Linked DNA regions of Alligator mississippiensis. The protein of the gene in region 1 purifies or fractionates together with the protein of each later gene. This does not show direct contact. Links are inferred from orthologs where the notes say so. Each region holds a gene or a part of one and is shown on either strand. Other genes may lie near its edges.

Evidence for each region.
Region 2: the proteins of OGDH (region 1) and DLST fractionate together in Homo sapiens (co-fractionation; 3 studies listed by BioGRID). This does not show direct contact. The link is inferred for Alligator mississippiensis from reciprocal best matches to the Homo sapiens genes OGDH and DLST.

Annotation. Positions count from the first base shown.
Region 1 is NC_081830.1:10,099,829-10,112,468, reverse strand, and holds the start of OGDH (2-oxoglutarate dehydrogenase complex component E1), read left to right. Parts: upstream 1-6,990; 5' UTR 6,991-7,102; intron 7,103-12,640. Other genes in the region: interleukin-36 receptor antagonist protein, read right to left, coding at 1,691-1,718. UniProt on the Homo sapiens protein: 2-oxoglutarate dehydrogenase (E1o) component of the 2-oxoglutarate dehydrogenase complex (OGDHC). Participates in the first step, rate limiting for the overall conversion of 2-oxoglutarate to succinyl-CoA and CO(2) catalyzed by the whole OGDHC.
Region 2 is NC_081825.1:261,150,344-261,162,564, forward strand, and holds the start of DLST (dihydrolipoyllysine-residue succinyltransferase component of 2-oxoglutarate dehydrogenase complex, mitochondrial), read left to right. Parts: upstream 1-6,526; 5' UTR 6,527-6,549; coding exon 6,550-6,609; intron 6,610-10,140; exon of another isoform or gene 10,141-10,211; coding exon of another isoform or gene 10,212-10,253; intron 10,254-12,221. UniProt on the Homo sapiens protein: Dihydrolipoamide succinyltransferase (E2) component of the 2-oxoglutarate dehydrogenase complex. The 2-oxoglutarate dehydrogenase complex catalyzes the overall conversion of 2-oxoglutarate to succinyl-CoA and CO(2).

The DNA.
Region 1 (12,640 bases):
TCTCCAGGGCTCTGAAATAGGAGCTACATGACCAGGAGCAGCAGACAGACAGCAGTATTACAGAAGAAAAGATGGCTTGATTAATGGAAGATCAAGAACATTTAAAAAGGAGAGTGGGTCATTAACATCTATGGAATGAAGAGTTTAGAAGGAAAGTGGTTGAGGTCCCTTCCAGCCTCACTTCTCTATGATTTATGAGTCATGGAGTCAAATGACTCCCTCACTGCTGCCTAACTAGAAATGCTGCTGCTACTACTGACAGGCACTTGGTTTTAAGTTTGTGGGGGACCAGGAATCGAAGCTTGGTGGAACCGCCTCCCCGGATCTGCCCCTCCTGGCCAGAAGGTTGCTTCAGGTGCAGGATGGTGAAACACAACAAGGCCAGTCGTTTCAGATTCACTTGGTCCCCCAACTTCACTGCAGCTTCCCGGAAACTTTGATCTGGCTTGGATCTCTTCCCCCCCAAGGGGGCATTGAACACGGGGTGACAATCAGGATAGCAGGGCCTGGCATAAGGGGCCCTTGGCATTCATTGTTAACTCAGTAGGTGGCAGCTTTGGCTGGTTTCCAGGCAGCTCTTGCATCTGAAGGTGGTGACTTCCAAGTCTCTGCGTTTCCCTGCCTCTAGGAGCTCCGGGAAACCAGAGCTTGGGCTGTTGGTGGATGCAGCAATGAAACATCCATTGGCTTGCATGACTCCAGGATAATTCCCTGCCCAACCTGCTTCTAAACCTGAGGAACCTGTCTGGGTGGTGGCTTTTGCTACCTCTTGCTTTCTTTTGCCTGAGCCCAGGCATGGGAAGAGTGACAAGCCCCATCTATCACTGGGGACAAGGTTTTATCTGCTGAGATCAAACCTTGGTCCTATTCTAGCTTCTAGCACCAGAAAGTTCAAGTCCTCTGACATTATCTGAGATACCTGTAGCTTTTTCACTGGATACTATTGCCACAGTCAGGGCTGCCCCGGGCCCGGTACTTTGAGGGGGCCCCACGGAGCTGGGCGGAGAGGCTGCAGCCCTCCCGCAGGGCCTGCTTGGAGCTGGCGGCTCAGCCCTGTGCCACGGAAGAAGCATGGAGACCCCCCACTTTGCGGGCGTACCAGGGCACCATGCAGTGTTAAGGGGACCCCGCACAGGCTGATTTGCCGTGGGCCCCACACCCCGATAGGGTCGGCTGCGGCCACATGCTCTGATAGCTTCCAATCAGGCTAAATAAAGGAGCGATCAAATGCCCCTCCAGTGAGTGCTTTGGATGGTGGCTTCTACTGGGACACCACCCAAAGCACTAACCAGCATGCTCTGAGTAGAGTAGGTTTATGGATTTCCCTTGGAGATTGATGGTGATCAAGTTAATGTGTGGAGAAATAATAACAATAACAACAGTCATCATTATAAGAATTTTAATTAGAGTAATAATAATACAGAGAGTTTTAAAGGGTCACCCTTTGGTTTGTTCTGGGGGTTTCACTCCCCCCCCCAGCTATAACATCAGAATCCTCCTGCTTTCTCAGGGATCTGTAGACAGGCTGGACAAGACATGGTTTCTGCCCCTGCCTCTCTGTTCAGCAGACCATTGGCCCCTGGTTGTAAGGCCTAAAGCTTCTCAGGACATCTTACCATCCCAATAAGCCTCTTCCCATCCCATAAAAATGCTCCCAAAGGCCCAGTGCCCCATTCAAGTCTGTGCTTACCTCCTGGCGCCCCCTGGGGATCACCCATGTCCACTGCAGTCACCTTCTTCCCTACTAGTTGGACTCAAGTCCTTCTGGATGCTGTGGGGTGTTTCCTAACCCCTGGGGCTCAGCCAACTTGTAAGGCTTCATGCAACAATGTAGAGCACTGAAGGCTGGTGGATATCCCCATGTTAAAAATGGTGACCCCCCCTCCGGACTCTCCCCATCTCTTTCCAGCATCCATGGCTGAGAACGAAGGGTTCAGCCCTGCCAGGTACCCTGCATGCCCATCACCCCCCAAACCTCCCGGGGCAACTTCCAGTCTCCCACAGGGCATAGAGCGGAAGGGGCATCATTGTGCCTCTGATGGCTGCAGGCTATGCACTCTGCCCCCCAGTTGTGTTCCTACACACCAGGTGCTTTGTGGAGCCTGCTGATAGCTCAGACAACAGACCCCTTCTTTCCCAGTGGGTCTGTGCTGCCTGGTAGGGTCAGACTTCACACACCACAGTATTGTCAAAGACAGACAGATGGACAGACAGCTATAGATGGATGTAGTATATGAGGATATATATGAAGTGGGTAAGGGGATGGATTGATGGATGGAGAGAGAGAGAGACAGACAGAGGGGGTATATATGGATGGATGGATGGATGGATGGATGGATGGATGGATAGGGTCTATGAGGATAGGGTTAATGGATGGATGAACAGATGGAAGGGTGAATAGGTAAATAAACAGATAGGGTGTATGGATGGATGGATAGGTATGAAGGCAGACAGATAGCTAGGATGTACTGGGCAGGCTGGAGCTGGGGGTATCCAGCCCTGAGGCACTGCCAGTGCCTGTGGGAACTTCTATGTCCCCAAACCCCTTGGGCAGAAACCCATGGGTGCAGGCAGGCTTGGTGCTGGCCATGGAGCTGGAGCCCTGCTGAGTTGTGCAAAAGGAAGCAAGTGATACCACAGGAAGTCTGTGACACAGATATCAGGCAGCCTGGGCCAGTGCGGGCAGTGATTGCAGGGGAACTGATGTCAGGGCGGGCTCCCCACTGGCGTCATGGCCACAGATGCTGGCAGCTCCTGGGGGCTTCCTTTGCAGCCTGGAAAGTGGGAAACTCCGTGCTGATGGAAGCTGGTTCCCTGCCTCTTGCCTGATGCAGGGCTGTGATTGGGCTTGAAACTAGGACTACACTCAAGCCCAGGGCTGACATTGGGAGAATATCCCACCCAGAGCTTTGGCTTTGAGTGCTGACATAGAGGTGATACTGAGATTATAAAGAAGGTATCTAGGTCATCAAGAAGGTTCTGAGGTCATCAAGGCAGTGCTGAGGGCATCAAGCCAGCATCCTGGTGCCCATGGCACTGCCAGGCCAGGCAAAACCTGGCAGCAGCCTCAGTGCCCTGCTGGCACCTCTCTCAGTGCCCCACAGCCTGCTGCCCATCTCCTTATGGGTCCTGCCCCATGCCCAGGTCTTAATCCCTGCAGGGTGGCTGTAGCTCACGGGGACGTAGCATCATGCCAGTGGACCAGGCCATGCCTTCTCTATTGGCGTTCACAGTCACCCTTCCCAGAGCTTTTTAACTGCTTTTCTCCAGCCACAGATCAGTCCCAAAGATGGCATTCCAGCTTCTCTGGGTTGGGTGATTCTTGGCTCTGAAGAACCAGAAGCCCCTTGACGTGTCCAAAGGCATCCAGCTTCCTCGCAGCCAGAGGAAAGGAAAGAAAAGACCAGATGGCAAGTGGAAGAGCAGGGTTTGTGGGAATCAGATGGAACCAGAGGGCCAGTGGGGGTCGCAGGGGTTATGTCTAGTCCACGAAGGATTGTCTCCAGTTTATTCCTGCTGATATGTCACCCCAGAGGAGCTTTTGGATAGGCACCCACTGGTGTTGCCATCAGCATGAAACCTTCCAGGCAAGCATGGCGGAAGCCTCTGTGAAAACAAGCAACTCGTTTAGTCCCCCAACCAACTCCAGGTTCTGCTTAATAGCTCCCTTCAGCCCCCACTTGGACTGAGAAAAGCCTGGCATTGATGCCCCTCCTGACCCCTTTATTCCCTTGCTGGACCTGGAAGCAGAGTCAGCTGAACCCACACACCCATTTTAGCCTCTGACTAAGGCTGGGGGCTCTGATATGTATGTGGAGTTACAGCATTCACATACCACCGGGCATAGAGCCACAGGGCCTGGACACACTTAGCCCCATTTAAATCCAGTTGAAACCCACAGAAGACAACTGTACACACCTGTTGTACTGGTTTAAAGCCACCTGGGATGGTTCAACCATGTGGCCAGGAAACCCAGGGCTACTTCCATCCAGTGCGGTTATAGGTAGATACCAAGCCTTCTGCAACAGATCTGGTCGGGCCTCCAAGCATCCCACACTGCATTCTTGCCCCCCCTCGCTGCTGCCATTGGCCGCTCTGGTACACAGCCAGAATTCTACTGCTCCTTGTTTCCCCCCACTACTTTCATTAGCAATTTTTATCGCTCTTTACCTGGCTTGGTCAATCCAGGTGAACTTCGTAATGAACAGCTGTGTCCTCATTCCCCACCTGACTGCAGCCAAACATCTGCCCCTACCAGCCCTTGGGAACCCAAAGAGGTGGGTCCAAGACCTCTCCTTCCCCCAAACCAGCAAATGTGCCCCAGATTGCAGGCTCTTGATTGAACTTCTCTATAGGCGATAAGGGAAAGCAGAGCTAACAATCCCCCAGCCACAGATTACCCACTCCTGAAACCCCCAGAGGATAGGTGCAAGCCCTTGCTCCCCCTAGAAGCCATGTCCCCAGGAGCAGGGCAAAGGGTAATGAGGGAAGGGATGGGTCCTGGAGGATGAAAAGCGCTGCAGGGTGCTTGGATCATAGCTAGGAGGGAAATGCACAGCTCAACTGGGTGATGGTTTCTACCCTGCCCAGGCAGGCCGCTCCCATGCCCATGCCCATCTGCTGGGCCTGGTACCAATGCAAAGGAGCCATAGGAAAGCTGCTTTCCTTGTTCTCTCATCACACCCAGCCTGGGGAACTCCCAGCTTTCTGACTTCCTTCCTCAGAGAGTTTCTGGCACTGGGCACTTCCCATCTCAGCCCCTGCCCCAGGGGCAGGGAAGGCACTGGGCACTGTCCCCAAGGGTGCCGAGCTGTGCAAGGCGGTAGGTGGATGGATCCTGATGGCTCACAGGTGCAGGGGGATCTTAGACTCCCAGCTCCTCCTAACACCGCAGACCAGCCCCATGCACAAGCTGGGAGCCTCTGGCACAGGGAACGAGGGCTGGCTGGGGGGGTTCATTGCCCACTGCTGCAGTGGAAAGCAGCCCCTCCACCTTCTCCCGCCTGTCTAAGCAGAGGATGTGGGGATCCTTTCCTGATCCTCACTGCAGCTCAAATCTGGTGAACAATGCCTAGCATCTGAAATCTTACCTACATTCAGTAACCATCAGAAAGGGAGGATGAAGAAGGGAACTACAAATAATACAGGAAGTATCCTGTTGCCTGGTGCCTGCACCTCGAGAAGGAGACAGAAGAATTAGAGAAGGTGCAGAGAAGGGCAACATGGATGATAACTGAAATGGAGGGGCTTCCCTATGAGATGAGTGTATGGAGGCTAGTGTGAGAGAGACGGAGAGTGAGAGAGGGTGTGTGGGGTGGATAGACGGATAGATAAATAGTGTGGGTTGGATAGAAAGACGGATAGATTGTGTGGGGTGAATAAATGGATAGAAGGACAGATAGTGTGGGCTGGGTAGACAGATAGATGGATAGATAGAGTGTGGGGTGGGTGGATGGATGGGCAGGCCTATTCAGTTTGGAAAAGAGACACTTGAGGGGGGCAGGATCAGGGTTTCCAAAAAACTAAATGGCAAAAAGAAAATCAATAGGGATTTATTACTGACTGTCTCTTCCCAAACAAGACCGAGGGGTCACAACATGAAAGGCACAGGTCATTGGTTTAGAACAGACATCAGGCAGTTCTTTCTCCCCCAGCGGGTCATTCAAGGGTGAGACTTGTTGCCAGCAGATATGGGGGAAGCTGAGAGTCCAGCCAGATTCATGGAGGGATTGGAGTTGTTCATGGCAGAAAGCACGGCAGTGAGATGCATGGCCTCTGAACTGGAGCTTCACAGATCCTAACTGCTGGAGGCTGCATATGAGAGAGGAACAAACCCTGCTCAGACCCAGCGGTCTCCCTTCTAGCCTTCGCTCTCTGCCGCCCCGTGACGCAGGAGTTTGAGCAGGATGGACTGAGGGTCTTCTCTGCAGTCCCTGGCAGCTCTGATGTCCTTAACTCTACCCCAATGTGTGGTAGAGATCCCTCGAAGACATCCCTGCCCCTCAGCACTGAGAAACCGAGCGCCAGAGATCAGGATGAGGCCTCCGTGGGCCACCAAACCTCAAAAAGGAAGTTCCAGTTCTGGTGATTTGGGATGAAGCCAAAGCCTCCCTGGCTGGATTTTCTACCCCTCCCTCAATAAAACCTCCCTTCCTTTCTCCCCAGACCTGGCCTCAACGGGTTAGTCCCACTGAAAGGGACCCCCACAGTGACTCCTGCCCCTCCTGGTGTAGGAGCTGGGGGCAGGGACACAGCAGCAGCAGTCAGGGGTTTGGAGTCCCCTGGGGCAGAGGCGACAGAGCCCTGCTATCAGGGGCGGGGGTTGCAGGAATGTGGGAATGAGCCTGGGGGGCTCTGAGATTCCCCAGCAACAGCTGCTTCTCTCCCATCTAGGGGACACAGGCCGGGACATAGTGTCCCCTGCCCAGACTCTGCTCTTGCCTCACTTGCCATCTCCTCTGCGCTGGGCAGCATTAAGGATAATGAGTGGCTTGTCCGGTGACATCACTCTGAGTGGCTATGACATCACAGCCCCTCTGTCACCGAAGGGGTCATGTGAGACCCCACCTCCTTAACAGGGGTTAAGGTGACATCTGTCTGTAGCTCCAGGTTGGGGGACTGAGGTGCCAAGGTGGGAGCCCAGCCTCCTCTCCACACCGCATGGGGAAACTGAGGCAGGACGACATTCAGCAGGATCAAGAGGAAGGGTCCACGCGCCACAACAGACTCCCGCCACGAAGGCAATATCCAGGCCCCACCCCTCCCGCGCTAGCTCCCTCCACTTACTGCCTGGCCACGCCCCTTAGTCTCCCCGCCCATTGGCAGCTGGACGCCTGCCAGTCACGCTGTGGGCGGGGCAGTACGTAGGGGGCGGGGCAAGCCAGCGTGTAGGGGGTGGGGCCAGGGCGGTGACGCACAGCGTGTAGAGCCGTGGCCTACGCGGTGACGCAAAGATAAGGGCGGGGCCTGGGCGGTGACGCGAGGCGCAAAGGGCGGGGCCTGGGCGGTGACGGAGGCGTAGGGCGGCCGCGCGGGCGGTAGTTGTCGCTGACCGGGCGCTTCTGTCAGAGTGGAGCTACGAGGGGGACGCGTGTGACGCCAGGTACTGTAGCGGCGGGGCGCGGCGTGGCGCGGTGCGGGGACCCGCGGCGGCCGCATGTGCACCCCTTCCATCCCTCCGTCCCCGGCTTCGACTTGCCCTTGTCCGGGCACCGCCTGGGAGCGGGGGAGTGGACCGGGGCTGGCGCGCCGAGCGACAGCCTCTCAGGCCAATGGGGAGCCGGCGCGGCGCACTTCTGCCTGTTCACTGGTTGCCCCGTTTGGCGGGCTGCGGGGGTTGGACGCCGGCGCCTGGGGGCGGGGCCGACCCAGGATCACCCAGCCGCGCCCGCCTGCTGGCCTCCTGGGTTCCCTGCCCATCCCCCACACCCCGCTCTCCCGGGTCCCTCCTCCCTACCCACACATTCCCCCACCCCTGCATGGGCTGGGGGGGGAAGATGTCAGCCTCCTAGGTTCCCTAACCCCTCCCGCATTGTCCCCCGTGGGGCATCCCCCACATTCCCGGTTTCCCTGGCCCCCCCCTGCAGCTCCCCAGGCAGGCAGACAGGGCTGCTGCTGTACTGGGCCCCCTGGCCCTGGGCAGACCTTGGTGCTCTCAGCTGTGGGGCAGGACAGCAAGTGTCCCTGGTCATGGAGCCTGGGGGGGAGTTGGCAGAGTCCAGCCCCCTGCTCTGTGCAGCATGTGCCTGCCAGACCCTCCCAGTCGAGTGTTTGCTGCTCCTGCTCTTGGACACTTCCAGGGACAGAGACTTGGGAGGCCTTGGGCAGCCTGCACGTCCCTTCTCGATGCCAGCCTTAGTCTCCCCTGCTGCAGTTGAGGCTGTTTGCTCCCCGTCCTGTCCCCATACCCGTCCATCCTCTGTCATTGCCCTCAGGGGGCTCGAGGGCTGGGATCCAATCCCCCTCCCCCCCCCCCCCCCCCCCCCCAGGCTTCTCTTAACTTGACTTGATTACCCCAGCTCTTCCAGCCCATCCTTATCAGTCCTGTGTCCTGGGCCCCTGATCTTTTCTGTTGCCCTGTGTTGGACTCTTTCCTGCCTGTCCACCTCCTCCATAATGTGCAGGGCTCAGAACTGGCCACAGGACTCCAGGCAAGGCCTCCCCACCCTGGGACTGCTTTCACCCCTGTTCTTGTGAGTAAAGCTGGGGGATTTAGTCTCACCATGGGTGTCGAGATCCCCAGTGCTGGATGGAGCTGTCTGAGCTTGATTGCACTGAGGAAGAACCTGTGCTCTTTCCCCCAGGCTGGACCCCACAGACAAGCCCTTAGGGAGCTCCCTTCTGTGCCCTAGCTTTAGTATCAGTCCCAGCTGGTGCTCTCTTGGTCTCTGTAGACTTTATTTAGTTCATCTATAAGGTGTGTCTTTACTCTGGCTTCAGACTAGCAGGATTAACCACCTCTCGGGGTTTAGCTCTGCCCTTGATGGAGCTGCCTGGCTGGGACCTATGCTTCATGTCAGCACTGTGTGACCTCCCAGGAATGTGTCATTCCCTGCCTGGCACCTCTGAGGCAGGCTGGGAGAAGGGTGTTTCAAAGGCAAAGCAAGGAAGTTGCCAGTCCAGCCCTTCTGGGCATCTGCTGTTATGGCAACAGTTGTTGGTGCCTTGTTCTTCCCTATCCCTTGCTCTCCTGCTGGTAGGGAGTCCATGCTACAGCGTTGAGGGTACTCTGGTGTGCACTGCGATCCTATCAGGGGTGCCATGCTAGCCCTGTGAGGTGTGCAGGCATGAGCTCCCCCTCCCTTGTCTTTCCTGTTCTGATCTCTCTTCTGCACTGCTGCTTGTAGGTCCTTTCCCAGCAATTGGTGAAAAGAGCTTAGGCTCACGACAGCTTGTTGTGTGTAATGTACACATGCATTCACATGTACACACACGTATGCGCACACACTACATATGTCCTTACTCTGTGTATGTGATCTACATAGTTACTGTGCCAGGCATTCTTCAGGATGCGTGTGGCCAGATGTAACATTTATCACAGCTGAGGAGGTCATCCGGTGGGTAAAGCAAGACCTTATCACACTGTAACTCAGTCTTTGTAGTACTTTTATATAACCCTGGATGAGACCGGGATAACCCAAGAACTTTGGAGCAGGGATGGCATATAGATATGGCCCACAAGCCCAGTCCAGCCTGCTGGATTTATGTGGTGCCATGCAATTCCTAAAGAGCTGCCATAGCCTCGGTCAGACCCTAAGTCCATTTTGTCTAGTCTTCTGTGTCGTACGGTGGCAGAGAGTAGATGTCAAAAGGGGTAGTGACCTGGGTATGACCAGAAGTTTTTCCATTCCTTCTCTCACTTGCAGCCTTCAGCATTTAGGGTCTAGGAGGCTGTGCTACTCACTCTTGTACTTGTTGGCTACTGATGCCACTTTTTCCCCCAAGCATATGTCCAATCTCTTGGTGAATCTGGCCAATCTCTCAGCTTCTCCCACATCTGATGGTAATGAGTCCCACTCTTGAATGACCCGCTTGGTGAAGAACTGCCTTGTATTGGTTTTGAAATGAGCAGGCTGTCGGTTTATGTTGTGACCTCATACTTGACTGGTGAGATGGTCAATAAGAAATCCCTATTGACTTTCTTTGCCACTTAGCATTTTGTTAAACCCTGATCCTGCCTCCCCCGGGAGCTTCTCTTGTCTAAACTGAGCAGACTTAGCCTTATTAGTCTGTCCTCAAAATGAAGCCCTTCCACAAAAGGATTTTTATCTGGCCTGGTGTGAGGAAGTGGTGTTGAGGGGGAGCCATAGGTGGTTAGGATTGTCTGGGATGGCAGCATGTGGCATGGAGAGCTGGCAGCCTCACCCAGCTTGGTGGGAACTGTGGTGGGGCTGGGAAGTTAAGATCTGGCTCAAGGTTCCCAAGTCAGGCTGTCAGATACTTGGCAGGAAGTGGGCAAGGACTGCCATGGCATTGGAGAGTCTGACGTGGCACTGACAACCTGGCAGGGACTTGGCAGCATCCTATCTACCTGGGCATCAGGACAGCCCTGTTCGTTCCAACCAGGCCAGGGCGTGCGGAAGCTTTTTGCCTTGGAACAGAAATGTGCTAATCCAGCCTGTGGCCTGGAAGCTACTCCATGAAAACTTTAGGCTCTTTAAACTCTTGACCTTGGGGTTGTTTCTGGATCTTGCCTTTTGGATGCTAGAAGGTACCATGGCTTCAGCCTCTTAAATCTTTCCTGGGACTTGGACAGCAGCATACAAAACCTCGGCACCAAGGCAAACCTAACCAGGCCTCTGCTGTGTCTCTTTCTCAGTGTTTTCTGCATGCACCTGTTCCAGGTTGGCTGTTTTCAGACTTGAAATGAGCTGGGAAGGGCTGGAGAAATCAGTTCCATCAGTGATCAAATTGATCGAAGGCAGAAAATCCAGAAAGGCACATGGACCTTCGTGTTTTTTTTGTTTTTTTTTTACAAGCGCATCTTTATAATCCAGTGGTCATCTGATAGCTCAGGGTATGCTGAAGCCTCTGCTGGTTTGATGGCTGTCTTAACACCTGAAAAATCATTAAGACCAAGGCACTTAACACTTTTTTTCAAATCCCCTGCTCCCCTCCCCCCAGTAATTAGATTCTGTTTGTGGGAAACTTTAGAAACTTGTTTAGATTCTACGCACAGAAAGTTTTATATTATAGTGAGGTACTCTTGAGTCCATTCTTCTCACCATTGCAGGGGGACAGGTATTTGGGGGCAGGTGATGTGTGGAGGTCAAGCAGCTTGCTCCCTGCTTGGGTCTGCCCCTCTTCTCCTCCTCTAGCCTCTGCTTCCCCTAACTCCAGCCTTTGCTCCCCATTTTACCCCACCTTCTTACTCTTACTTTATGAAGTAGGCTCCATTCCCCTTCTAGCCAGGAACACTGAACACAGTCCCAGCCCAGCCGTGTAGCAGCCTGCATAGCTGGTACAGGAGCTGGGTTGGGACCATGTTCAGTTCCCCAGGCTGCATTGTATACAGAGCGTGTCACTTTTAAATTCAGGGTAGTGTCTTGGATTTCCGTAAATACGGCATTTCCTATCATAATCTACCAACCCCTGCTCTTGATTGCTAAGTGACCCTGACTCAGAACCTGAGTTGCCTGACCCTGCACTGCCCTCGTACTTGATTCTAAGATGAGGGGCTTCTTCCCTGTGTTAAACAGGGAGGGAACGTTGTCTTGGAATGGAGTAAATATGGTACTTGGCACTTAGGACCCCCCTCCCCCCCCATCTGTGAAGCTAGCAAGCTGGTGTTTTAATACTGCTGAAGTTATTTCCTGTTTCCCTGTCTTCAGAAGGTCACTGTGCAGTCACTGCCTCTCATCTCCTTCAGCTGAGGGCTTTTTTAAATGAACTGCTCTATGGCAGGGGCTGGTTGCTCTAAGCCTGGCTGCCTGTCTCTCTGCAGCCAGGCCCTTCACTTTTACACTGTCACTGAGCTCCTGCTCAGTGCTTTGAGGGGATGCACTTCACTTGTGGACTGGATTTCCAGTGTTGCCTACGGCTAATAAAGCAAGCTGAGGCCCAAAGGCCACGGTTACAAATGTATTGTAATTTCGTGCACATAATGCACTCCCAAATATAATACGCAACCTGTTTTTGATAGTTTAAAGGGGGGAAGAAAAATTCTTATGTTGTGGTATGGGTAAGTAATTTATCTGGCTAGTTGGGGCTAGGGTTGTACACTGCTTTGATCTGAGGCATGGGGCCATGTCATCCAGCTGGGAGGTTCCCTAGGGGTCTGGAAGCAGTGGCAGAACTAAGTGCCACAGCTCCCAGAGCCTCTGCAGTGGATACTGTCATCACTACCCTGCTGCCAAATTTCAGGGCCATATTTCTCATGTATAACGTGCACCTCAATCTCCAGCTGGTTGGCGGGCGGGGGGGGGAATGGGACAGGGTGCATGTTGTATGCAAGACAATATGGTATCCTTTGGTAGGTCACCATGGAAGAAAATGCAAACAGACGATTGATCAGGGCAAAAAATACCTGACATTTGCAGTGGATTAGGTAGCTTCCAAGAGAGAACAGAGCTATAAGCCTCAGGAAAGTTTCTCCACCCGAGACAGCTTGTTAGGGTCCACCTTTCATTAGAGACATGTCTAATTAACCTGGCAATCAGATGGGGAGAAATTGCAGGTCTGCCCTTATCTTGGATTGGGTAGAGGGCCAGCCAGTATCTGTGACCTGGGTTTTGTGTCTGTGTACAGCATGGTGGGAATCGCTGGCAGCTTCCCTCTGCTTGGGTTGGCCATGAGACAATTGACATGTTTCTTTGCGGGGAAGACTGGCTCTGAGGTCTTGTCCTGGGTGGTCAGAGGAAGGGGAAAATAGGATTTTCTAGCAACACCCTTTTTTTCTCAGCATCTGTTGAGCTGACTGAGAGAGGCAATAAAAACCTGTGCCTGCTGTACTGCTCACCCTTAACTTTCAGTATTCAAATAACAGCTGGTAGGCTTTTAATTTGCTTTACTTTGGGAGCTGATGGACTCTTCTTTATGCAGTGGAGCTGCTTTTAGATGCATGGGAATGTAACAGCATAGACCCCAGGGAGGGTGAAAAGCTGGAGAGAGCATCCAGGAAGGGCAACAGATAGCTCTAATT
Region 2 (12,221 bases), on another chromosome or scaffold:
TGGTTTCTAAGCAATCCATGAAAATACTCTACTTTTCACTCTCTTACTATATTGTTTTCCTGTCAGCCTCCTGTGAGGGACTTTGTCAAAGGTTGTTTTTTTTAAAGTCTGAGTAAATGACACCACCACATTCTCTTACCCTTCCCCCCAGGCTGACCTGCACTATTTTTCCAATACTCTGAAAGTAGGCTATTGATTGGAAAGGTTTTACAGAAGCTCTGGTTGTTTGTCCCCATAATGTGATCATGTAGATCTATAATCTGTTCTCATTTCAGTTAGTTTGCCTGGATGGAAGTGAGACTCTCTGATCTGTATTTCCCAGGATGTCCACTTTCACCCTTTATATAGATAGGATTAGCCCCAGTGACATAACATTCTTCTGGGGTAGCAGCTAGTTTTAATGGAGATGTATATAATGCCTATTTCAGCCATTTCATTTTGAAGCTCTGGATGGCACTAGGAACCTGCTCTTTAACATATTTGGTGTTTCCTTTTGGCACTTGGCTCTCTCAGAATGCCTCATCTTTTTCATGAGAAAAGTGAAGCTGAAGGATTTCTCCAGATTAAAGCTTTAGACACCAAGGTGATAAACTCCTCCTAGTTGCAGCAGGTAGATGTGGGCTTGTCTATGAACTTTAAGCTTTGACCAACAATGCCAGCTTTTCCTGGGTACCCAAGTTGCTCTTGCTCCCCAGATATTCAGATGGACTGAAACAAAGGGCTTGATTTCAGTCCATTTTTCTTCCTCCTGGAAGGCTCCTCAAACTACATTGTGTTCCTCTGGAAGGGAGAAGGTGTTCTTAATTGAAGTAGTCACCTTTTACTTGCTGGATCCATGAATAGATGGGGCAGGGCTGTGTTCTGAGCCCACTTTGCATCCCAGGAGCACTGGCTTGGGGGGAAGGGGGATTGGGTGTTTGCTGAGTGGTCTGAAAGGGCCCTTTTTAGCTGGGATCCTTTGTTTCTTTCCGTCTTTCTAGAGCCACAAAGCCTGCCCTCATTTCACTCTGTGATTAAACAGCTCTGTGAATCTGCACCCTGCCCCTTATAGGTAAATGGAACCAAAAATTCCTTCAGAGCTGCATTGTAGGGATGAATCCAGGGGCTGGCAAATCCCTATGTTTAAAAGGCAAGATGAGAACTTTCAGCCCCCTCTACGGCAGCTGTTGGTGCAGCATGCACCACATCTGATCTTAGAGACAGGATGTGCTCTGTGCCCCACCCTGCTTGACAGACAGAGGCACTTGCAGTTAATGCACACCCTCCTTGACATGCTGCTTCTTAGTAGAGAATGCTGCTTCTTCAGAGCCCAGGATAACTTTTGCATCCATGAGCTCCCCTGACTGATGCAATGGATGGCCTCATCAGCTCTGCTTATCAAGGCAGCCTCAGGTACCAGGGGATAAGTGCAATGCTGTGTAAGGAGTAAAGAGTAATAGTCTCAGGCCAGTGCCCCTAGCTCCTATAAGGTGTACAGCAATGTGTTAGCGGTCACTTCTGCCCCTGTCAGTTTATGGCAATAGAGATCTTCTCATGTGAGCTCTCAGGTACCATCTCATTGAGCCCTCAGCTCCTTTGCCAGATGTATTAGTGAATGTTGTAAAAGACCTGATCCATGCTGAGCGTTACTAGCAGTTATCATCAGTGGCCTCCTCAGAACCATTAAAAAGGAGCCAGGGTTCTTTTACAAGAAGAAAGAGACAAACAAACAGAATGAGACTCCTCAGAAATCTGCAAGCTAACCTTCTCTGAGAACAGACTCTCCAGAGCCAGACTCCCCCAAACCCTGACATCCTGACTTCCCCCAAAATCTCAGAATTGTTTTTCTCAAACAGACATTCCCCATAAACTTCTCCAGCCTAATCCTCCTCAGAAAAACCAGGTTCTGCAAAACCTTGCTATCAAGAGATCCCCCCGACTTCTAGATTTCCCAGTTTCCAGTGAACAGCCAGAGCAGGCCTGGTGCCCCACAGAGACGGCAAGGTTCTTTGGGTAGATGTGATATCTTTTATTAGACCAACTCAGTAGATGGGGAAAAGTTCTTTGCAAGCTTTTGGGTGCAATCACCCCTCTTCAGGCATAGGAAGTCTCTGCTGTTCTGAGACTCCAGGGAATGTTTCTTTCATTCCTTGGAGTTTCAGAACAGCAGAGACTTCCTCTGCTTGAAGAATAGCAATTGTGCCTGAAAGCTTGCAAAGAACTTTTTCCCCTCAGCTACTCAGTTGGTCTAATAAAAGATATCACATCTACCCAAAGAGCCTTGCCTGCCTATGTCCTTAGACCAACCCGGCTACAACCAAAAACCCAGCCACAAAGACGGTGCACTTACCTTAGCTACAGCAGGAATGCAGCTGTCCGCAGAGTACCTTGTGTTCCCAGGGTTTTTTGGAGAGAAAGTGCTGAGTGGGAAGGGGCACTGAAGCAGTCACGCTGGCATTGAAGACTCTATCTGAGCTCAGTCCCTACTAGAATGGGGTGGGGAAGCCAGTAGCAGCCAACCAGCTTCAAGGTACTTCTGAATATGCAGATGGAGAAGGGTCAGGTTCAGTAATAGGGATCAGGGCACCTTCCATTCTGCTGCTGGGATGCTCAGATACACAGACCACTCAACAAGCTCAGAGGGTCTGTAAATGGCAACACTGCTAACCACGCAGGGTTGTGTGTACCGATAGAATAATTTTGCGTATAACCTTCTGGGTTCTATCTTGTTGCACATCAGGAGAGAAGTTTTTGGGGGGAGGAATAATTTTCATATTCCATGTCAAATTAGCCAAATCAGTTCCAAATCCTCTTGACTGAGCAACTCTCAATCATTTGAACACTATATGTGGTGCTACAACTGACAAGTATCCTCCACCCCCGACTTTTCAGCCTCGGGCTTCAGATACTCCTAAATCCATTGATGGGCATCCTATGTACAGGCCCAAGCCCAGAAGCTTGGGGTTTGGATGCCACAGAGTCCCACTTGTCCTTAACCAAATAGCACAGAAGCAAGCTAGAGAGGAGTCCCCCATTTCCATAAAGTAGGTGTGCAGCCAAGATCCTCCCACTGGAAGCTGGCCAGCAGGAATCTATTTACAAGACTCTTGTAGGGCATCCTGTCCACAGTGCATTGAACAGGCATGCACCCTCCATTACACAATGCCATTTAAATCCATGTTGGTTTGGGTAACTAACCAGTGCAGCGACTACACTTGATCTTAGCCCACAAGAGGTTGAGAAGCAATCAGGAGAGAGATGCGTTGGCTGGGATGTGTTAGGGGTGGTGAGGATTGGAACAGCAGGACGTAAGGCAGAACTGACTTGTAGGAGACTGTGAAGCTGGGCAGGGGAAGTGAGTTAATGCCAAATGGTAAAGGACCGCAGTTACTGTAAAGCAGGGCCCAGTAGCACTTTGTTCTATTCAGGACTTGGAATCTGAACCTAGTCTGGAAATGTACTGTCCCACCATCCATGATGGATCCACCAGTGCTAGAAGCAAGTAGGGCCTCTTTGCAGCTAGTAAAAATGGTGCTGGAAGGGGAAGCTGAAGGATACAGACATTGTAGACAGCCCCAAAGCAGTGGTTTTCAAACAGAGGGGCTCAGTTTAATAAGAGTCACAATTTTGTTTGAGCCCCCCTCCACCCCAACCCAGACAAAAACAGACATGCAAAATATGCTTTCATAAACTTAACAAACACAACTTAACTTACTTAATTAAATTACCTACACCTGTAGGTTTCTAGTTCACAGATTGAAATTGATATTCACAGATATTATACTTAACGACTTTAGCCGTTTCAGCTTCTGCCTTCCGTTTCGTAACAGTATCTTTTGGCAATAAGTACCGATCCAGTTTCACCTCAATAGTATGAAAATATCGAACTCACCGGCAGAATAAGTTGCACTGCAAAATGCTTGTTGTGATTTTTTTGTCTTGTAAGAGTAGATATGATAGGTGTACTAAACTGGAAGGTGGGAAATGTTGCTATGGAAATGATCACTGGTTTAATTAAATGCATTGTAACACCTGTGAAATCAGTTGCAAAAAGTTCACTCATACTATTTCAGTGTGTGATGTTGTCAAATATAATACTAATAATGATGATAATAATTTTTAAAAGTAAAATATGCCTTGCACATGGTGCCCCCCACATTCCTTTGCGCCCCCCCTCCCCGCCCCCAGACAGCATGCCCCCCAGTTTAAAAACCGCCGCCTTAAGGAACACAGCATAGGTTACCAGTGGTTTCTAATGTGTTGATGATGAAGGTTTCTTTTCTTCACTGCAGCTAGATCTTTGAGGTGTATGTGCAGTATTGCTAACTCTCATGATTTTTGCCAGTGTTCTTAAAGTATATGCTTTGGGAATGTGAAGAACTTAGCTTTCTTTTATATATAAAAGCTCTTTCTTTTATATATGTGTGTGTGTGTATATATATATATATATATATATATACACACACATACACACACACACACACAATATATATATATATATATATATATATATATATATATAATATAAAAGAAGGAGCTAAGTTTTTCACATTCCCATAGCGTAGACTTTAAGAATGACAAAAATCATGAGAGGTGGCAACACTGTATGACACACCTAGAAAAGGAACATCATCTAAATAATAATACTTAGTATTGTATGTTTTCAGATGTAAACTCTAGCCATTAGAGTAGGGGCGGGCAATTATTTTGGGCGGAGGGACACTTACTGAGTTTTGGCAAGCCATCGAGGGCTGCATGTCAGGCAGCCAGGGGCAGATAAATATTAATTTTCTAAATTTTTTAGGGGCCCTGCGGGCTGGATAGAACGACCTGGCAGGCCATATCTGGCCCGTGGGCCGCATTTTGCCCACCCCTGCATTAGAGCCAGCTGTTCAGCATAGCTGATAGGTAAGTGTTCTCCCCTCAGCACTGGACAAGTCCCTAATATATAAACTGTGAGAAATAATCTGCCTGACCAGAGGAACAGACTCCAAAGAGTAACCCAAGTCTCTCACATATCTCATTCAAAAAAGCCTGTTGGATTTGTTACCTGCTACCTGCTGAACAGTTTGAACAAGGAGCCAGACAAAATACAATGGCTCATGCAGTTTTATTTGAGCTCAACTGAATTAAATCTCTCAGTAAAACTCTTATCTCATTCATTTGTATCCAGGTACTTTACAATTGCTATGATATGCATTCTTCCTACTAGGCAGCAGTCTTCGATTCAAGGCAGCTGGTTTCTATTTGTTGTGCTCAAGGAGAGCAGCATACTAGAGATGCACTGCTCCAAAAGCTGTATCAGTTCCATTTGTTTTTATTCCTTTTTAGTTCTTTTTTACACACCAAACAGGTTTCAAAGGTTCCACCTCCTCCTTTTGCTTTCTTCTCCCTTTCCTGTACTCCTTCCTCGAGGAAATTCTTTACAAAACGACATTAAGTTAGTAGTGCCATTACACCATTGAGCACTTAAAAAAAGTAGGAAATGCTCAAGATAACGCAGCACCCAGTTCTAACTCTTGTTCCCTTCTGCAGATGCCTAATTCTAATACAGCCCTTTATGATGTGAACAGAGGCTCTGTCTCAACTCATGCAACATCATGTACACTGAAAGCAACAGGGCATCTCACAGCGTAGCCTGCACAGGAGCACAGCATTCAGCCAGAGCCATGGTCAGGTGAGAGAATCCCACCCTTCCCTCTGCATAAAGGTGGGAGCTTGCTGCACATTTCTTTTCCCTCTGCAGCTGTGTGGAGGGCCTGCCCTGTGGCCTGGTGGCGTCCCAGTGTCCGTCACAGCCACGCTGGAACTCCAGCCTCATGGCGGGAACATCGCTGGGGTGAGCTAGCCCTAGGGCAGTGTTGGCAGGTGGGAGCCAAGCGTTGCTAGCTCCCTGGAGGCAGCCTGCTGGGGGAACCCAGGCACTAGTGCTCTAGGGAGGGGCGTGGGACCCCCAGTCTCTGGCTACAGCCCCAGATCTGGGAGCCAGGACTCAGGGGCCTCCTGTCCACTGGGAAGCCAGGGCACAGCCTGGCTAGGGAGTGCAGCCTCCTGCCCTGTGCTGCCAGATCTCCACATCACCTCTGCTGGTGTCTGCACTGCCACCACTGCTGCCAGGCCCATCCCTGCTCACCCTGGGCTCCCCAGCTCCCGTGGGCAGCATCAAGCTCCTCAAGTCAGGTGCCCATGGGCTAATTCACAACCTGCCCCTGCCCTGCATGGCTGAAGGTTGCCTGGGGCAGGGACCGGCAGCCAGTACCAAGACGCCTGGCGGGGGAGAGGGAGCGCAAGCCAGATAACATCAAGGCCCCCCTGTCCTGCTCAGAGTGGTCCAGTCCTCAGCAGGCCCACCGGGGCTCGCAGCCGCCCTTCAAGGTGGTTGAGTCCTCTTTCTCCTCCTCCCGGTGGTTTTGTCCCGTCAGGACGTTTCGGTTTCTCACCCTCCCCCATGTTTGGTACGACCCTCCCGGCTCCCCCTGCGCTGAAGGGTGCTTGGTTCGGTCCGCTCCGTTTCCGGCCTGCCCGGGGCCTGTTTCCGGTGTTCGCCTTCACGTCGCCGCCGCCGCCGCGATGTTGCCGCTGCTGTCCCGGTCCCGCTGTCTGAGCCGGGCGCTCAATGCCCTGCGGCAGGTACGGGCGGGACGAGCCGAGCCGAGCCAAGCCACGCCACGGCACGGCACGGCACGGCACGGCATAGTCCTGTCAAGGGCACTGGGGTGGGGGCGGTGCCGCCACCAGAGACCCTCGGGTGGGCGGGAGGGACACAGCGCCCCGCCCCACCTCGCAAGGGCTCCTGCCGCCCTGGCACGTAGCGCTTCCCCGTAGCGGGGGGCAGGAGGGCCGGGACTGGGACTGGGCCTGAGGACGGGAGGAGCCGCCCGGGCGGCCGGGGCCGGGTCGGGGTCCTGAGGCCTGGTCGCGGCCTCGCCGCACCTGTGTTGGTAGCCGGCAGCGGGTCGGGTTGTCCGCCGGGTCCGTGTTCAGCACAACGCGGCTGCGCTGGGCACTGGCGCGACACGAGGAGCCGCAGCGCGCGCTCGGGCGTTGGACCGGCCTCGGCTTGTGCGGCCTGGCCCGGCACCGGGTTGGAAGAACAGGCGGGAGCTAGAAGGGGCCGGAGGCAGCGGAGCCGGGTGGGCAGGGGAAGCTCCTGCTGCACCTCCGCCCAGAAAAAAGTTGTGTTTAAAGTTTTCCCGGCCTGGAGCAGTGCAAAGGCTAGTTCTCGTTGTACTGGACTCACTCCCTGCTGCACTGCCAGCTGCGCTGGCAGCTGCTGGAGCAGCAGCATCCTGTTTCTCAAGATTTTTAGAGCTAGTTGATCTTGACCTGTCAATTACTTGGTGCCCACAGCTTGGCAAAGGGGCTGTTTTACTGTCTGCTCATCTCCCAACATTTTTTTTCCAATTCAAAACGAGCTAGTCCTTGAATTGACTTTGCTTGGGAACGAAAGCATTCTCTGCACCTGCAGAAGCAGCTCTTGCTGTCAAACTGGTTTATTTAACAGACTCCACCTCCACCTGCTTCAGCAGTGATTTCCACCCAGTCCTTGGTTTCTTGGTGCAACTTCAGTAGTCGCCATGTGCTATTCAGATGTTTTAAGCAACTTAAATTCTTTTAATAGATAAACATAAGTGTAGGCCTTAATATGTGGGTGGTCACAACTTGCAAAATTAATTTCAGACAGGCTTATATTTTAAAAATATTAAAATCAAAGAGTTTCTTAAGTATCTTTTTATTGGTATGCACCCTTCAGAGTGGTGGGTAGGACCCCAGGTAGAGAAGTGAAAACCAGAAGAACAAGCATAAAGTATTTTTACTGTACATAAAATGAGACTGTAAGTCAGTTGATTACATGCAGGGAGATGCATTGGGCTAGGAAGATAATTTTGGTTGTCATGTTGAATATAACAGAATGGGAAGAGACAGGCAGGTAGGGAGTTCAAGGAGAGGTGGTCACAGATAGGGTGACCATGATAATTTTATGGACAGGGTAAGGAAGTCTGGGATAGGGGGTGTAACCCCCCCCCCCCCACTTCAGCCTCAAGGCTCCCAGGAGCAGGGCTGGGCAGGATGGTGTGGAAGCCCACCTTTGGCCTTTATCCCCTTCTTGCAGAGGCTGGACCCAGCTGGGGGCACCCCCTGGGCTCCATAAGCCCATGCTGCGCAGCTGCACAATGCCTCCCAGCAGGCTGGGGCTGCAATCCCAGGACAGAGCCCAGAGCCATCCCCCCGCCCCCCAAACATGGGTCCCCAGCAGCCGGGAGGGCAGAGGGACCCCTCAGAAGCCCCCGCCTTCACCTGGAAGGCTGCTCCCTAGTCCTGAATCCATTGAGCTGCAAGCCATGAGTCTTTTGCCAAGTAGAGTCGGTCAGAAGCTGGGCACATGCGGGTGGGTTCACACCAGTCTGGGAGTTTTGCTTCAGTTTTCTCTAGAGAGCCCAGCCAGTGAGCTGCTCCGTAGTCTGAACTCTGCTGGGCTGTGAGCAGTCTTTTGCTCAATCAATAATCAATCAGGAGCTGGGCACATGCAAGCAGGTTCCTGCCAATCTAGGACTTTCACTTCAATTTTCTCCAACCCAGGACAACCTATGAAATCTGGGACTGTCCCAACCAATCCAGGATGTATGGTAACCCTAGTCATAGAGGTCTAGACAAGAGAATTGGAACATGGATGATGAGTTTTGAGAGTGGGGAAGAAGTATGATAAGTGAGGATATTTCTGGAGGTGGTTGAGAAAGAAATACCGGGATGTGAAAACAGGTCAAGCATGTGAACTTCAGAGTTGTGGCTTTGGGCAGCTGGGAGGGTAGCAAAGTCAGCAGGAATGGAGAAAGGGGGAAGCTTGGGTTTTGACACTCGCATGGTCAAGAGGTAGCGGGGCAGGCGCTACGAAGATTGGCTAAAGGGCCTGAACCTATTCAGCCTCCACAGGAGAAGGCTGAGGGGGGATCTGGTGGCTGTTTACAAACTCACCAGGGGGGACCAGTGGAAACTGGGGGAGGCTCTGTTCCCCCAGGCACTACTGGGGGTTACTAGGAATAACAGCCACAAATTGCTAGAGCAAATTGTTCAGGCTGGACATCAGGAGACATTACTTTACAGTTAGGGCTGCCAGGATCTGGAATGGACTCCCAGGTGAGGTAGTGCTCTGTCCTACCTTGGAGGTCTTCAAGAGGAGGCTGGACAGATATTTGGCTGGGGTGATGTGATCCTGGCACCCGTTCCTGCCCAGGGCAGGGGTTTGGACCTGATGATCTGTTTAGGTCCCTTCCAACCCTAAATACTATGATACTATGATGCTATGACATATATGAAGAAGAGAATTAAAACTCAAGAACTCTGTCCTGGAGGAAGAGAGTTGTGAGTCATCAAACTAGGAATCATGGGAGAGCATCAGTGGTGAGTGTGTGGGCAGAAGAGGACAGGACTGACATTTGCGATTTGGACTAGGAGAGGCAACCACTGAGGAAGTGGTTGCACAGGTAGGACTTCAGAAGTCTGCAGACAAGATGCTCTTCAAAAGGGGCATGTAGTTGACAGCAGGAGGATGACAGTGAGGCCTTTGGATTTCACTAGGCAGGGAAAAGTTAATGTATAATTTGTTTAGTGAGTGGAAGCAATCAAAGGGAGCTAAGGATGTTACCATGCTAGCAAACTAACAGTGTTCTCTATCTCTTTGGCTCTACTGCCTCAGTCCTATCTGACTCCTGTCTTTTTTTCCTACCCAATGTTACATATAAAAAACAGGCTGTACAAACCAATGAGGTGTATGAATACACTGAGTCTCTTGTGCAGCAGTGGGTTATTCAGGACCTGGCTATCAATGCAGTGACTTCTGTTCTAAGCAGTCCAAAGTCTGGCCCTTCCCACAGGGCTGATTTGCCCTAGTGTTCCTTCACCCTATCACTACCCCATCATGTCAGTGCCTATGATGTCCAGCCCTTAGATTATCTGCATCACTTGTTGACTGCAAAACTAATTTACATGCTGAATGTTTCTCTTCTCTCAATCTTCTTATTCAAACTGCCCCATGTTTCCAACAAAGCCTTGACTGGAATGATCTAGTTGGGATGGTCCTGCTTTGAGCACGGGGTTGGACTAGATGAGATGACCACCTGAGGTCCCTTCCGACCCTAATTTTCTATAATTCTATGTTTCTAGGGTTGAAGTAGAAATTCGCAAATGATGACAGTATGCCCATGCCCACCTCAGGAGTTATGTCTCCATAGAGAATGATTTCAAACGTGCTTCAAGGAGTGACAGTTCCCAAGCAGGTAGAGATTGGAGGCTGTGCATTAGGGTCACTTTGACCTTGGGCTGGTTCCAGCATGTTTGAACACTCTTGAGAAATCATGGGAGGCAGGGGGAGGAGTAGTAGGTTGATAATGAACTCTAGGGAGGTATTGGTCAATTTTTGTCAGTTGCTACTTTTTCCATGTTAAGGATGGTTCTTAAAGTATGCTCATGTTGGCATACTGGACCTGAAACTGCTGCTGCTGTTGCTGCTTCTTCAGCCTGTGAAGGTCCTTAACCACACCACTTCCTGAGGTTTAATGCCAGATGTCCCCAGGAAGAGATGTGGTCATAAGCAGATATGCTCTGTAAGTGGGATGTTTGCCATCTCCTCTACCAAGGCTATGTATATGAGTGCCATTTCCTGCATGCTAAAAATAAACTGGGAAGGGCTAGTAATATGTTTAGAGACCCTCACCATCTTATTTGTGCCTTCCTCTACTGTGTGACTACGTAGGAGAGCTTTCTCTTCTACCTTCCTCTCATGTAAGGCTTTAGTTTCTCAACCCTGGGGTTGTCTGACTACATGAAACAGTCTCTTGGTATGCCAGCTCTTAGATTTATAGCACTCCACAGAGACTGTGCTCCCATAGGAAGTGCTTTTTCTGTGGGTTTATTTTTCCCCAGACGTTCATTATTAGTTGGCTTCCCAGAGTGAGCCACATCCTAGCAGTGCGGGGGCTCCACAAACAAACATATCAGCCTGTTTTCCTTCCAGAAACTAGTACAGCATATCCTGTTTCCCCAGCAAGATGATGTCTGGTATGCTAGGATTTCCCCTGCCTCTTTACAAAGTACCCTAAAAAAAGCATCAGAAGGCTAAGTGAAATTAGCTCCCTACTGTACAATTGAATGAATAGCTAAAGAACCAGAGGACATGTGGCTGTAAATCATTTGGGAGTTTTAGTGCCCAAAAGGCGCAGTCAGTAGAGCTCCAGAACCCTAAATTGAGTTTCCTTGTGTTCCTCCAGTTTTTCACAAAGTCAAATGTTTTGTGTACATTCCATATTCTAAATAGTGTGTCCCTGCACTGTCTTTAGCATCATCCCTAACAGTTCCCTTTGTCTGATGTACATGAATTTTCAGAAGCACATACACAATGTGTTTCACAAATAAGTCCAAGATACCAGCTACAGCTGAGCTCTTAGTTCTGGCTGAAAGTGAAGGCAAGTTGTATATACAGGCTCTTTCCTCAGAAGTTGAGATTTAACCAAAGTAGGATTGTTTTTTCTTCCTGTATTGACTCGTGTACAGTGATACTTTGAATTGCCAAATAACATGTTCCACTCCAGAAAGAGTTATTGCAGTGTTGAGTAGCATATTACTTTTTACAACTGTTTGGTGCTCCTCCAGGTCAAAAGGTGTTGTGTAAGATACCTGTGAGATGGAGGATCTGGTATAACTGTCTCAAATTTTGCTTTTGGTTTGAAGTGTTGGACTGAGTTATAAACCTTCTCTTGACTTTGAGGATTAAGATGAAGGTCAGAAAAGGTGAAATTCTGCCCCATTGAAGTCAATAGGAGTCTTGCACTGACTTCACTAGAGCCAGGTTTTCATTCAACAGTTCTTTTAAACCCCCAAATTGCCTTTAAGTAAAATTGACACTGCAAATTGGAGCTGCAGAGGCTGTGGGACTCAACAGCTCCAGTGTGGAACTACTGCTTCCAACAGTCCTAACCTAACTACCCTTGGCCTTCTTGCACAGTGACAAACTCAAGGTGAGTGGGGCTTTCAGAAAACTGTCCCTTGTGTTCTTTTTATATCGGCATTCCCCTCCCACAGCAGCAGGAGCTGCAAGTAAAGCCAGGGATCAGAGTTTAATTCACTTGCTTCCAAGGTGCTTTTCTGTGGTAAAGAGTGTTGGAGTAGAGGGGTGGGGATGGAAAAGGGGACCTGAAAGTCTTTCGCCACTTCCTCTGCCTTGCAGATTGTGTTGTGCAATGAAGCAA